Drosophila melanogaster: one gene and its partners. The protein of the gene in region 1 interacts with the protein of each later gene in a pairwise test. Each region holds a gene or a part of one and is shown in the gene's direction. Other genes may lie near its edges.

Region 1 (4,268 bases):
CTTTTAGTAATCATAATGTTTACGGATCATAGATACATTAGGCTCTAAAAATCCAAATATTTGTCAACTCACGAGTTTGTTGTATTTCACGTACCCCAACGAACTTATGCATAGTGTACTTTATTTATTACCATAACTAAAAGATCTTGAGAGGCTTTTATTTATTTAGCCCAATTTTCGGACTTATCGCCTGGATTGATCGATTAATTTGGTTATTGATTCTTCTGCGAAAGTCAAAGGGAAAAGCGCATCCAATCGGAGAATGTGTGTCGGCTGTCTTAATATGTTTATAATTGACTTAATTGCCAAACAATTAAGAACAGCAACAAAATGTGTCAAACGATGGAAAGAGAGAGAGAGAGAGGGAAGAGCGGTGGAGAGATGGAGCGAAGAAGCGCAACAGGTGACACCTGTCCCGCTCGCACAGTCTATCGCTAAATGGGAGCGATAAGCAGTTAGAAGCGAAATATATGTGTGTCAAAAATTATCATACATACAAATGTGTACACAGCCATAGTGGTTTTATAAATTTAGGAAAAAATATCATTATATTGCATAAAACGCATAGGTGGCAAAAACACTAAATTAAAATATAATACAAATATATAAACATATACTAACGAAATGTTTTTAAACATTTCAAAGTATAATGATTAAAATTCACAATGTTATCAATATTGCCGTATTTCGCATTATTTATATTTGATTTATTGTAGATATTACTATTATTTGGCACATAGCTGTCACTAAAAATTATCAGCCAACTAACACAGACACACAGCCCGTATGTAAACACGGATTGATTAGAACGCATTGAAGAGAGAAGAGACCATTGAAAATCGAAGCCCGCAGAAAAAGAGATCGCAAAGAAACTGCGGCTTTCAAATAAAAATAATAAAAATCGCTTTTACCTTTCGCTTTTTCCTTGTTAAAAATTTCGTATGCAGTTTCTGCGTGGTCAACTTAACTTCGTTTTATATTCACAACACACACAAACACAACCAGAGCACAACAATAAAAAACGAAAACAAAGAGTGTGAGAGAGAGGGAGAGAGCGGTGGGCGAAAAGCAAAGTCTCTGCTAAATTGCTAAGCTGATTTCCCACACATATCGATATTGCACTGATATTTTACTGCCGCAACTAGTTGACACATTTCCACAAACATTTCGGCCCAGTTTACTAATATTTGTTTATTTATTTATTATTCTTGCGGAATGAATCACTTGCGGAATGTTTCACACACACATACGCGCGCGTACGCATTGTTTGCATCTGTCTCTCTCTCTCGCGCGATCGATGTCTTTTTTTGTTGTTGTCTCCAAAAGGGAACAACAACTATTCGCTAAACAGAAGTTGACAATTCGCGGATGGAAAAGTCATGACCAGAACAAGATTCTTTGTTTTTGTCCCCAATGCCCGCTTTCCGAACCGGATTTTCCGATCCGAACGATCTGCGACCGATCGAAGAATACAAATGCATAATGTAATATAACGGGGCGCGCCTAGTGTGACCGTTGGCGGAAAGACAGCGAATGCCGGCAAAACTAGTTACTAAACTAGTAGCTAGGATACAAGTTATTAATTTTAGTTATATGTAATAATGTAAATTTTAATACTAACGTTCTTTCCATATAACTGAAACATTTTATATCAATAGTTAACTGAATATTATCTCGGCATGAATGCCAGATTTAAGTTTTTTGCCACAGCAACTGGAATTTACCGGATTTTTAAATTTTAAAGCAGCGCCCACGGTAAAATCAGTAAAGCACTTTAACTATAGTGTAATCATTTAAGTAAATTTGTACGTATAAGGAATTGGAATTGGAAGGAATTTGTTTTCTATTTAAAAAACGATATATACCGCACTGCCAGCTATCGATAGCAAATAATCGGCTGGTCGTGATTAAATGTAAAAATTACTTCCACGCTCTGGTAACACTGCATTGTATACCAGAAAAAAATGGTATTAGCATTAGCAGAGAAAAAATCAAATAAATAAAGAAAAAATCAATTAAAAGTGCGCCATTCCAAAGGATTATCCCAAAAGACGCGATCATCCATATCAGATGCTTAAGAATCGGCCGGAAAATCCGACATCGAACTATTAGGCTAGTGAAAAAGTGCAAAATAAACATTCGCCCAGTGGAGGGGGCCATACAGAAAACACTCGAGAGTCTTTCGAAAATACACATATTATACCACACGGATCGTTTTGGATCTACAATGGCCACCAGCGAGATCTCGAGCTCCAATGAGCGGCACTACTACGCCAAACTGGAGGCCATCAAGGACATCAGGGACAAGACGCTGTCGCTGGAGAAGCTCAAAGTGCGGATCATCAAGGAGGTGAAGCTGAGCGACGACGAGGAGAAGTGCCTGGAGGAGTACCGCAAGGAGATGGAGCACCTGCTCGAGGAGAAGATGTCGCACGTGGAAGAGCTGCGCCAGATCCACGCGGACATCAACGACATGGAGAACATCATCAAGCAGACGAAGGAGAACCAGACCCGCTCCTTCGACATGGCCAACCGGGTGTACGAGGAGTACCTGGCCCTGAAGTACCAGATTGATCACATGCGCCGCGACTATCTCGGACTAAGCCCGCTGCGAGATCTGCACGAGGAGGAGGGCAGTCCCATTTCGAAGGATCGCTTCCAGACCAACTTCCTTAAGGTGGCCGCCCAGTCGGCGGCAGCAGCAGCTGCTGCAGCTGCGGCGGCGGCCTCGGTTAATCAGAACTCGTCGTTGGCCCGTCCGCATGCCCGGCATCCTCTGATGCCGGAGGCCACGGTCACCGCGCTGCCTTCTGGCGGCGGACAGGGCGGCGTTGGTGGTGGCGGCGCTGCAGGCGGTGGCGGAGGATCTGTGGGCGGCGGAGGCGGTGGTGGCGGCAATCCTGGACACGCCTTCATGCCACCCGCACCGCCGGGAGCAGGCAGTGCTGCTGCCGCCGCCGCTGCTGCTGCAGTGCGTCTGGGCAAGGGTGACTTCTCAGCACCACCGCCACCGCCGCCGCCCAGCAATCGACTGCAGCAATCGCCTTCGATCGGCATCGGCCACCATCCCTCGTTCCGCTCCGACTTCAATGTGAATCTCCGCCAGCAGCCGCCGCCCATGAAGTCCTGTCTGTCCTGCCACCAGCAGATCCACCGGAACGCGCCCATCTGTCCGCTCTGCAAGGCCAAGTCGCGCTCCCGCAATCCGAAGAAGCCCAAGAAGAAGAACAACTAAGTGGCCACCGCTCCAGACCAGCAACTACACTCATCTTAAGTCCGGAGCTGGTTCCGGAAACTCAGCGCACTAAATCGAATGCGTTTTTTTTTTTTTGCCTCATCTATTTATTATTAATCCCAATGAAAAGTATTACAACGACGCAAGGCGGGTGTGCTCATGATTATCGGAGAAGATTTAAAAGAATGTCAAATACTTGCATTAATATTTTATACATTACTAGTGTATTTGAAAATCGATGAAGAAATTATTCATGACACGCCGGCCGCTAACAAATTCTCATAACAATTTTAGTTGGTAAACTCAATGAATTTGATTTTTATTTTAACTATAATCATAGGCTAAGTATTTTTTAAAAGCTCAAATAACGTGTCAAATTATCGAGAACAAAAATTTTGTTTATACATGTAAGCCATGCTAAATATGCAACTATGTTATATTTAAGCAGCAAAAAAAAAACACAAATATCAATAAAAATATTTCATTTTTAAATGGGTTCTTTTGGTTATAGATTAAATTATTTGGATTATTGGATTTGATTTTATATGTGTGTATTTTAATACAATAACTATAACTGATGTTTATATACTTGCATTATATTTTATACATTTTACATTTGCCATACATCGTTTGTGAACTAAAGAGTATTGTAGATATACAACGTACTAAAATTTAGATCCATGGTATTTTGGCCTGTCCCTGCACTTGGTCACACCTAGCTTAAGCCGAGCAAAAAGTTCGGATTTTTATTCAATTTTTTAATCCAGCCCGCAAAACAACAAATTCGTATTGTTTCAAATTGTTTCAATTGCAATTTTAGTGAAACATAGCAACAACCAGTTCAAATTGAACGCATCAGTGCACTTGGTTTTCTTTTTTTTTTTTGTTTTTGTGGATCAGTTTGTCGTTTTTGTTCTTGTTGTCGCTGCGTGCGTAGAATTTGTGAAAAGAGAAAGTTCTGCGCCGCGTCTTTCTCCGCCTCTCTTTCTCCAATTCTTCGCACAGTCGTGGCCAAGAAGTTGCGCCTGCGCAG
Region 2 (4,627 bases), on another chromosome or scaffold:
CTCCCACTCAACGCCCTCGTCAGTATCGCGCACTCCCTCCCACCGACAGAGATGGCTAATAAACCGAAAGGCAGGCTGATGGAAATTATAAAGTGCAGGCTCGTCTGTTCTCACAGGAATTCTTAAAATGTAAATTTAATGAGCAAAAAATTAGAAGATATCTCCGCGAGCAGATCCCCCAACCCAAAGATGGTAAAGAGAAAATTTACTAGCCACCAATTAAAGGAGCGGGGAGCGTCTGGTGTCAACTGGCTCGTTTTGACGGACAGGGCCCCATAAACATGTCAGAAAGGCTTGCGCATTTTTTACACGCATCTTCAGCACCTCCGCGAGGTGCTCCTCCCTACCAATCCGAGTAAATTGCAGGGAAAATACTTTATTTAGTTAGTCCGGCGTATTGGAAATCACAGCGCAACGAGCTGCCAATAAAAAGTTGCGCGCAGAATGGTTAAGCTTTTTATGCTGTCCCCAACACTAAACACAGTGGTTGCTGGAGGATGTCTCCTCTGTTTTAATACTGCTATAGTTGTAGCTTCTTGTTTGCAGTAATATTGTGTGACAACTATTTCTGCTCGTAGCTACTTTGTTGGCCAGTTGACAGTGGAGCAAGTGCTGAAAATGAATACGTTCTGCCAGCTTACTGAAGTCTTAAAGTCCATCTTCACCATTATTCAATAATTACTGAATACTACAAGGAAAAGATAAGTCTTAACAATTTATTATTGTTATGTTTTCCAATTATAATCTTGAAAACGATAAAACCCATAAAGCAATATAATTTCTTAAACTTTAAAGTCTAGTTACTACACGACTATTATTACTATTTATATGTACATATATTCTTAACAATATTTTGTCGTTGTGCAATTGACTTGGTTCTTTTAACCAGAATAGCAGTCGCGGCCTATTAAATTCCAATTTTCTTGACACCCTGCTTCCGAAATATTTTCGCCACTTCGCGCCCAATAAATACCACAGTAATGCGCTATATTAAGTGGACGGTGTGCAAAAACCCAGCTGCAGGGGCAGAAAAAAGGAAAGAGACTACTTCCAAGATACTTTTGTCCGGGACAGTGTCCGACAAACAACAACAAAATGCCAAAGCCAAAAGTAAAAATGTTTCCCATACGGTTTATTTACACAAAATGTCAGAAGTTTACGTCCAAGGGAGGGGAGCTGATCGAGGTGGAAAATGGTTGTGGGGGCGGGGAAACCCGGAGAGTGCCAGTACCAGTGCCAGTACCAGTTCGAGTGCGAGTACCAGGTGCTGCCAGACAAACAGGCGTTCAATGGCCAACGGATGGACAAACGCAACCATTTTGGGATAATAATGCAGCGGCAACAACAAACTGCGCGCCCAAGGAGGTGAGAACATAATGTAAAGACACTGCCGCAGTGGGAGTGGGCGTGCGCGAGAGCGGGATGGCGACAGTGTAGACAAACCGGTTGTGGCCGCTGGCCAATCAGAGGTCGTGAGGCGTTACGCGGCGACGCCGACGCCGACTGCGCAGCGGCAAGGCTGGAGAAGAGGAAGAACACGGGCCAACTAACGGCAACTGGTTTCCATTTGGCTTCAGTTGGATTTCTGCAGCGCGTACGTGCGGGTGTCCTGTGTCGAGCGAGCGAGAGAGTTTTAGAGAGAAGGAGAGCGAGCGAGCTGTCAGCTGATCCGAGCTTTACCGTTTTACCGACGCGCAAATACAATTCCCAACCGATTATCACCGATACCGAGTGATCTTTGCATGTGCCAACATTGAAACACAAGCGAAAGTGAGGTTATGAGTGCCCCCTAGTGCCAAATTAGTCTAAACCAAAACCAAAACAAAACACAAACGAGCTGCAGATGGAAAGCAACGCATTTGGCAGCAGCCATTTGCCGTCCCAAGCGCTCGTTGTCCTCTCGGAAGCCGCTTCCGGTCTGCACGAGGCTCTACGTGGACAACGTCCGTTTCCATCGAGAGTAAGTAGAGCCCAGAAACTCAACCTCAGCCCAAACCATCCGGACAGCCGCTGATTGGAATCGCCCAGCCGATCGATTCTGATCGGACGGAGAGGGGACATATTTATGACAAATCATAAAGACTGGGGGCCGGTAGCCGAAATGCCGAAAGATGCCATAAATCAGCACACCGCTAGCGAGGCAAAGGAATCGCGAAACGGCGGCCAAAACCCCAACAGCAAGCAAAACAATGCTGCATTGTAAAACAACAAATCCGACCAGAAGTTCCAAGTGAACTTCCAGTTGGCGATGCGCCTAGGGATGACAGCGTGATTGCCGATCATGCACTCAATTAAGGATCCATTACGTAGAGAGAAAGTGAGGAGAAAGCTGTGAGAGCTCGTTTAAGTGCAGTGTATAATGTGAGCTACTTTATTTAGATGGAGCATAGGTTAAAATGGAGTTATTATATATAATATGTACATAAAGGAAGCCAGTATCCTTGTTCAAAATGATAGATCTCATAATGTTAATTTACAAAAAAAAAAAAGAAACAACTACAACGATAATCAAATTTTCGGTATCTGGACCCTAAATTGAACATAGTTTGAATGAACTTCTCCATTGAGAGAATATGGGTGTTTTTATTTCGCGTTCCTATTTAAAGCAAAGATAAAAGCTCTATAGGAACACTTCTAAATAGTTCAATAGTCGAATTTTTCCATCCTCTCATACAATTTCTGTTCTTTCCTATATCCCAAAAGAACTGCCCGATCACGATCGCATTTCCAATGCGGCAGTCAGTCAAGAGGCAGATTCAGAGAGTTCGTCTTCGCATTCCGATCGGCGAATGCGTTTGCAAACGCCCCATTGTGTGTAGATTTTTGCGACGAACAGATTTATGATAGCTTCAATTCCGAACTGCGAGTCGGGCCTGATGGAGTGGAAGTGGAAGCGGGCCGCAGTTAACTACTGGCCCGATTCCGATTCCAGTCCCAATACCGATCCCACAGAGCAGACCCATTTGATTTGGCTGGAAGTCGATTCCCGGCCAGCTTCTGCTCATTCTGCTGCCTGTCATCATTGTAAACATGAGCAATGATCTTGACGCTGATGCTACAAATGATGAAGAACTCGGGCGCTGATGATGTTCGAACAGTCCGCTTGGCGAAACTGGTTATTCCGATCGGAGCTGCAGTCCGAATAGGAACGTACATATGTATCTCTGCCCTGCATAGCATTGAGTAGCGTTAAGATATGTTAAACATGACAACAATATGTCCTCGGCGTTCAGATGCGAGTTGGGTTGTGAGGAACCGATTTTCGCCACGGAAGACAGTGGAAAAGCAGGAATATCGCTTAGAAAGATCAAGTATTTACCTTGCTTTTGAGGAATTCTTGTCGCGAAACAGGGCCTATATTGATACCTATCAAGTTTTAGCCGCCTCAATGTCACTTAAATATTTTCAATAAAGTTCTTAATAAATAATCATCATAAAATGCAATACTAGATATAGGTTTAAATCTGTTATATAAGAAGAACAAGAAGTAAATTTTTACTTTTCAATATCTTTAAATATCTTTTAGCATACATACATCTTCAGCTAGCTTTCTCTGCATTCCATAGCTGAGTATTAGTTTCTTCAGCTTTCTTTGCCATTTCTTCTTCCAATGACGATTCCTTCTAAGGCCACTGCACAAGTCGCTTATCTAGCATAATTTATGAAACCGATTACAATTGGGCATGGGGCAAACCATAAAAATTAATAAAAACAAGCCGAGCGAGCATATTAAAAGCAATGTCAAATGGTTTAATATGGGCCTGCTTCCAGTGGAACTGCCTCCTCCACTCCTCCACTCCGCTTGCCAACGAACCTTCAACCACCGACCTGATTGTTTGGGTGGGTGAAGGGCAGCGGAAAAGAAACCCACCAGGCACCATAACAATTCTGTAACCACGACGGCAGCAGGAACAACAAAAGGTAAACAGACTGACCCCTTCAGAAAATGGCAGTCAAGTTGGGTTGGGCAGAGTTATGGCACTGAGGCGGGCCAACATATGAAAAATAATTCATTTTTTTGCCACTTATTGCCACTAAGTATGAGTAGTTGAGTTGTGTTGCATATGCGAGTGTGTGTCTCTATATTTATCTGTGTGTGTGTGTGTGTGTGTGTCTGAGCCTAATTTAATTTATGGCAATTTATCAGGAAGGCAGCTAGGAACCAAGCAGCGAAATGCGGAGGCAGCGAGGCGTTTAACCAGCAGTACTTACTACCAAATGGAGTATTATGTCCAAATGGTCAGTGATAGTTAGCCAAGAGAATTCCAACAGAATGTAGAGATAGGGAGAGGTGATATCATGTTCCTTACAAGCGGTTTCTTATTTGAAATGAACATATGTATGTACAAATACATGAATTAAGGAAAATATCAATATCAAAAAAGAAATTTGCAAGTGTTAAAGTCGTATCACCTAATTGAAAACCCCAACTCAGTTATGAAGTTAGAAATGGTGTTGTTTTGAGTTGGTCACAGCAACTTTATTTTATCACCAGGCGAATTAATATCGGGACCGTTTTATTTTTGGGTTAAATCATATGAACTTAACCATCAAATCGGAATAATCCTCATATATAAATAGGCCTTGTTGCCTATGCACATCCGCAAGTTAGTTGCCAACTTAAAAT
Region 3 (7,018 bases), 3.2 Mb from region 1:
CATGAATTGCACAAACAGAGATGGCGGCAGGGCAGGATGAGCGTATCCCTCGTCTCACTCATGCAAATAACACACTCGCTGCCATGATCGTCGATCTCCTCGTCCAGAGACGTTTTGTTCACGGCCTTGTTCTCGATGCCATAGATCTCCTGTAGCAGGTAGCACAAGCCATCCACAAAGATCTTTTGCTTCAATGCACGCAGCACATAGCTGCCGTTTTCCGGATGATGATCGATCACACAGATGGTGGTGTGCGATTGCCGACACTCGTCGCTGCCCTCCTCCACCACACAGTGAATGGCCACGGGATACTGTTCACGGCCGGGACTATAGCCCAGTTCATCCTCGGGCATCTGCTGCGGATTGAAGACATGGCTCGGCTGCGAGAAGCACTGATTGATGCCCTTCTCGTAGTGGTACGTCTCCGAGGTGAGACCCTCGCGCGGCACCAGTGTCACGCCGCTGGGACTGACATCCTCCGAGCAGAAATAGTAAATGGTAATGGCGCACTTGGCGTCCGAGTCAAAGGTAAACTCGATGTTGTAAGAGCAGGGCGGCGGTGGGGGCGTCATATCGGCATCACCGCCACCCAAACCCATCGAGCAGAGCACATTTCCATCCACATCCTCGATGGTCACGTTGGACTTCTCCTTGTCCAGATCCAAGTCCCGATCAATCTCCTTCATCTTGGGCTTCTCGAGTACACCGCCCAGCTTCTTGTCGTTCATCGTCTTGACGAAACGCACCGACTCCTTGCGAATGTTGACCAGACTCTTCAGGGTCTTCGTCGGTTCATTGGCCTGCGGCGGGGGATACGGAAAGGCTGTGGGTCGATTGCCCAGGAAATTGAGATCCGCATTCTCGCCAAACAAGTACGATTCCGGTTGGGGCGTGTCGAAGCGCTCGCCGCCCATGATGAAGTGGGTGCCAAAGAAGTTACCCATTCTCGGTGGATACTTGTAGGCATTGTTCGTGCTCGGATCGGCCTCCTCCACCGCCGCGTTCTGTCTGCTCACAAAGTTGCCCATTTGATAGGTTGGTGCTATGGAAAACTGTGACACAGATCCAATATAGCTCTTGGCCTACGTTTTCTCTTCGCTTTGGTTTAGTTTATTATTCTATTTCAGTTGGTCACCACCACACATACAATGGCATGTTGGCATTTCACTTGTTCGGCGGAAAATGGCCGCTGTGTGTGTGTGAGTGTGCGAAAGCTGTGGTCGCCTTCAAGTGTTGGATCCTGTGTCCACAAAACTAGCAATAGTACAAGTTGGTCAATGTCTTGATTATTTCTGATTTGCCTTTCCTTTCTTCTTTCTTCCTTTCTTTTAGGGCTGAGCTGCCGTCGACGACGTGGATATCGATATTTCGCTTAATGAAATATATCGATAGCTTAAACCAAAACTGATAAATAACTGCTTATTTTCGAAATATTTTATTTATTTGATAAAAAGTAAATAAAAAATCCTTACATCTTAGAGATAAATAATTAAAATTACCCATACACATTATTTTTTAATTCGCCGTCGGCGTTGCCACATAGCTCAACTCGTAGTTGCCAACTAATCACAAGCCAGCGTTGCCAACGGTTTGAAGGCAATAACAAACGGCGCCAAAATAGCGTACGCGAAAAAAAGTGCAGTGCGAAAATCACGGCAATTTTGCAGCGCATCACGGAGCAGAGAACACACTCGCAACCGCCATCATGAGCATAAGCATGAGCATGGACGAGACCATCTGCGCGTACTTCGTGAACAATCTGAAGCCGGGCGACGGTGGCGTCCAGGAGGCCGACACACTGCAGCAATTCGAGGCGGCGCGGGAGCTACTGGGCCAACAGTTGGCGGAAACGCAGATCCGGCAAATAAAGCCAAGCGAAGGATATCCCCTGATCGCAGCCGGTAACCTTACCAAGAAGGACGTCTTTGTGCTGACCCAGTTCGAGGGCGAATTCTTCGAGCAATTGCAGCAGACGCGAGCACTAATTCTGGGGCCACCGTGCCTCATCACCTGCCTGCGGCGCAATGAACCCATTCCCGAGGGCAGCAGTGCCATCTACAGCACGGCCATGCGGGATCTGCAGGTCTCGGCCACGGGCATAACACCACAGAAGAAAGAGGAATTGAGCAGGCTCATAAACTGGATGGGCGGCATATACTTTCAAAGCTTCGGGCATCGCACCACCCACCTCATTTCGAACACCATCAAGTCCAGCAAGTACGAGCAGGCAACGCTGAACGGAGTACCCGTAATGCACGTCGACTGGGTGCAGTACGTCTGGGATCAGAGTCGTCGCAGCCAGCGCGAGGGCATCATGGCCACGGATCCTGATTTCGATAAGTATCGCCTGCCCATTTTCTTTGGTGCGAATATCACGTGCAGTGGATTGGATGTGGCGCGCAAGGATCAAGTTATGCGGCTGGTCAACGATAATGGAGGCATCTATCATCGTGCCTTTCGCTCCCAGGTGGTGGACATCGTCATCACCGAGCAAACAAAAACGGACACCGAGAAGTATAAGGCAGCCATACGCTACAAGAAGGATGTCTTGCTGCCGGAATGGATCTTCGATAGCTGCAATCGCGGCTACGCTCTGCCCACAAAGGACTATGAGGTGCGGCCTGGCAAGACGTCGTCCACACCCACCAAGACCACTCGTCCGGGCGCAGCTCCCGGTGCAGATCAAACGCACCTCTCGGATCTCTCACGTATCAGCTTCGTCTCCGGCTCGCGTCGCATGTGCAGCGATCTTAGTACCGTCAACGAATCCGTCAGCAGTGTGGGCAGCAGTTCGCCCGCCAAGCAGCTGCTCAAGCAGGCGACTAGCAGTGGCCGCAACTACCAGCAGGTGCTGGCCGAGATTGAACCGCGTCAGGCGAAAAAAGCGGGCGCCTTTCTGGATGGCTGCTGTGTGTATTTGAGTGGCTTCCGCTCAGAGGAGCGTGAGAAGCTAAACAGAGTGCTGAATACGGGCGGAGCGACCCGCTACGATGAGGCCAATGAGGGCATCTCACACATCATTGTGGGCCAACTGGATGACGCCGAATACCGACAGTGGCAGCGCGATGGTCTCATGGGTTCAGTTCATGTGGTGCGCCTAGATTGGCTGCTGGAGAGCATTCGAGCTGGTCGCGTGGTCAGTGAGTTGGTGCATCGTGTGTCGATGCCACAGAATCGAGAACCAGACGTTGCCTCTCCTGCCAGCAAGCGAACACTGCGCTCCATGAACCACAGCTTCAAGCAGCCAACATTGCCCATCAAGAAGAAGCTTTTCGATCAGGAACCGGATCCCGTGCAGGAACAGGAGCACGAGGAGCCGGATCATACGCTGCTGGATCAGTACTCACAGGATCAAGGAGCAGTGGCACAACTGCCACCGGCAGATGTTAGTCTCCTTCAACCAGCGGCAAGTTCCACCCAAATGGATATACGCCAGCGAGTCTCGGTAGCCAATCCAAAACCACCCGCTGAGGGTTTGCAATTGCCGGATCTCAGTGCCAGCACTCTATCCATTGATTTCGATAAGCTGGACTACTTCGCCGGTGTCTCTGTTTATGTGCACAGGGAGTGTTTCAACGAGGAGTTCTTCAACCAAATGCTAACCGAATGCGAAGCTGCCCAAGGCTTATTGGTGCCATCGAGTTTCTCCGATGAAGTGGATTTCGCCATTGTCAGCTTTGAGGTAGCCTTCGATGTGAAGCAATTACCCGTCAAGGCCCGCCATGTGGTCACCGAACTGTTCCTGGAAAGCTGTATGAAAAAGAATCAACTGCTGCCCATCGAATATTACCACAAACATGTGCCGGCTACCGCACTGCGTCAGCCGCTTAAGGGAATGACTATTGTCGTATCCATTTATGCAGGATTGGAGCGGGACTTTATTAATGCGACAGCAGAACTACTTGGCGCCTCCGTCAATAAGACATTCATCAAGAAGGAGAAACCGCTGCTGGTGTGTCCCAGTGCCGAGGGCTCCAAGTATGAAGGTGCCATCAAATGGAACTATCCCGTAGTCACATCCGATTGGCTGGTGCAGTGCGCCCGCACTGGTCAGAAGCTGCCCTTCGTTGGATATTTGGTGGGCAAGAGTCCCGAGGATTTCCCCATATCGCCACGCTTGCGGGACAGCAATAGCCGGACAGCAAGAAGACCGAATGAATCCACATTGGTGGCTCAACCGGATGTAACCATGGAGGAGGCCGAGAACCAACCGGCGGGATCTGTCACACCAGTTACTGCTGGCAGTCCAGGAGCTCCTGAACTGACGCCCCTGCGCAACAAGAGAGTTTCCGAGCTAGCTGGAATACCAGGAGGCAGTGCTCTTCATCGTGGCAGCAACTCCACATCTTCTCCGGACTCACCATGCACGCCACTTAGCCAGGTGGGTGCCCAGCAGTACAATCTGGACTTCCTAGAGCAATTCGTTCAACGCCTGGATACAGAAGAGGGCAAGGATTGTGTGCGCGAGATTATCCGTGAAATGCGCGAGAATCAAACGCCGGAATTGGAACGCATTCGACGGCAGGCCTGCACGCCCGTCAGTCGTAAGCATCAACGACCAGCACCGGGAATTCCAGATTTTTGTCTCACTCCCGAGTTCCAGCAGCGGATGGCCGATGATTTTGAGCGGCGCTGGCGCCTACCCACCATGAAAATCAAACCAGACACACCGTTGGCCGTCATCAGGCAGCGCGTGATGCGGATCACATGCGAAACTCTGGGCATCGAATATGAAGAAAGTAATGCTAAGACGCCAACGCTATCGGAATCGCCATCAACGGTAAAGAAGAAGCCGCCAACCAGGACGACGCAGGCCACCAAACTCAACTTTGATAGATCACCGAAAACACCGAAGCTATCGCTAGGTAAAAAGACGCCACTCCGGGTGTCCATGGGTTCACCCCGCAGCGGAACGCAATCACCCTTCGTACCGAACACACAGAGTCCAATCGAAGCAGCGCCGCCACGGCGTTCAGATGGTCCAACGTTAAGCGAGGAAGGTCAGAGCACTATTAACTTTGACAAGATTAGCTTCGAGGAGTCGGCCGTGCCCGTATTGGCCCCAGATGTTCCCACAGTGGCGCCAGATGTCAAGCAAATCACCGACTATCTAAAGAACTGCGAATCGCGAAGGAACAGTCTGAAGCGTAGCCACGACAACGACATGGATTGCGGCGAGAGCGAGGTGCAGTATGTGCAGCCCTTCGAGTCCGAGGGCTTCGCCCTGGGCACCGAGGACATGGTCGACTGGCGCGATCCGGCGGAGTTCAATGCGGCAAAGAGAAGATCCTCTGGCGGTTCGCCCAAGATGCAGTATGCTGGCATACCGTGCTTCAGCATCTCGTGCGGTGATGATGACGAAAAGCGGGCGGAACTAATCGCGCGGATCACCCAACTGGGCGGAAAAGTGTGCGAGAATCTGGTGAACTATGACGATAGCTGCACCCATCTGCTGTGCGAGCGTCCGAATCGCGGCGAGAAGATGCTGGCCTGCATTGCGGCCGGGAAATGGATACTAAATATCCAGTATATCGAACAGTCGCATGCGCGTGGCGACTTTCTGGACGAAACGCTGTACGAATGGGGCAACCCGAAGGCCATTAACTTGCCCACCCTGGCACCGGAGGAGGAGCCCATCGCTGCCGCCGTCCACCGTTGGCGCACGGAGTTGAGTGCGTGCGGCGGTGGCGCCTTCTCCGATCACCGGGTTATACTCAGCATGAACGAGAGGAGCGGGGCGCCCATCAGGAATGTGCTGCGTGCCGGCGGCGCTTGCATCCTGGAGCCAACAACTCCGTTCTCCAAAGATCCTGTGGCCAAAAGTGCCAGCCATTGTTTTGTCGATGTGAAGAAGGCGCCGCTGTCGACCCAGGACATGGAGTATCTTCACAAATGTGGTGTGCAGGTGCTCAGCCAGATTGCCATCAACGCATATTTGATGAACGGCAGGGATGCCGATCTGGGAAAGTACCAGCTCCTTTGAACGAATCATTAGATTCTTTGTACATGCATTGGATTTTTTTTTTTGTTCCTGTTCTATATTTTGATATTTTGTGGTTATATAAAAGTTATTGAATTAAAGCCTTCAAAGGTTTAATTTAAAATAGGTCTAGTTTAATCAGTTGTAAGTGTAATTTTGAATTTTTGATTTGTGTCCTTTTCTTTTGGTTACTGAAAAAAATCATAATATTTGGAAGCCTTTAGCGTAATGAATTACTAATAAATTAATATCGTTAATTAACTTCAAAATAAACGAACTGAAATTGAAGTCCATTTGATAATTGTATTTAGTGATTTATTTCTAAAGGTGTTGTTGAAAATTAATTCTAAGTCAAAGCGCAAATTATTTTAGAATGAAATTTGACGATTATCTATTTTTTTATTGAAGCTACCTTATTAAGTTTATTTCCATTATTAATTTCATTCCAACTTCAATTTAATAAACAAAATGTAATATTAAAAACCTAAAGAAATTCTATTTTTTTCATCCCGATTTCGATCAATTACATTATTTATTTTCCGCAGCCAAATTAAACAATAAATCAATATGCAAGTGTATTGTACTTTTCATTTATTTAACGTTTATATATTTGTATGTGGGCTTGTGTGTGTGTTTGTATATAATATGCATGTATGTATGTATAATTTCACTTAGCTTCAGTTTTTGTTTTTGTTTTTTTTAGTAATTATGTTGTATAGCAGTACTTTATATTTGATTCATACGGCTTCACATGTATACATATATAATTTGTTTTTACAATCCATGCTGTTTGTTCTATTCTCTGTGTGGGATTCATTATAAAATTCCATTTTATATAACTATAGCTATATAATTGTCTGTGTTTGTGGGTGTGTTTTTTTTTGTTTTTGTTTATTAGTGGAATCTCATGCTCTAGGCAACAAATTCATCAAAAATAGATAGTATCCAGGAATCGATCTGCATCGCATGGCATTCTGGTTGCCAGTTGATCTGTTTCTCATATTCATTTTCGATTTTTTGCAGCTTTCTTCATGTTTT

Evidence for each region. Proteins that work in one complex are often made in the same cells at the same time.
Region 2: the proteins of CG13001 (region 1) and tey interact in a two-hybrid assay, tested with the Drosophila melanogaster proteins (one large-scale study listed by BioGRID).
Region 3: the proteins of CG13001 (region 1) and mus101 interact in a two-hybrid assay, tested with the Drosophila melanogaster proteins (one large-scale study listed by BioGRID).

The regions. Positions count from the first base shown.
Region 1 is NC_004354.4:16,940,542-16,944,809, reverse strand, and holds CG13001 (uncharacterized protein), read left to right. Parts: upstream 1-1,938; 5' UTR 1,939-2,227; coding exon 2,228-3,235; 3' UTR 3,236-3,724; downstream 3,725-4,268.
Region 2 is NT_037436.4:19,660,612-19,665,238, reverse strand, and holds the start of tey (teyrha-meyrha), read left to right. Parts: upstream 1-1,574; 5' UTR 1,575-1,843; coding exon 1,844-1,960; intron 1,961-4,627. UniProt on the Drosophila melanogaster protein: Required for the correct synaptic targeting of motoneurons RP5 and V to muscle 12 (M12). May be involved in the negative regulation of Tl in M12. Involved in the correct patterning of veins in the proximal (costal) region of the wing blade.
Region 3 is NC_004354.4:13,720,649-13,727,666, forward strand, and holds mus101 (mutagen-sensitive 101), read left to right. Parts: upstream 1-1,597; 5' UTR 1,598-1,705; coding exon 1,706-5,983; 3' UTR 5,984-6,465; downstream 6,466-7,018. Other genes in the region: Mrgn1 (mahogunin ring finger 1), read right to left, coding at 1-1,028.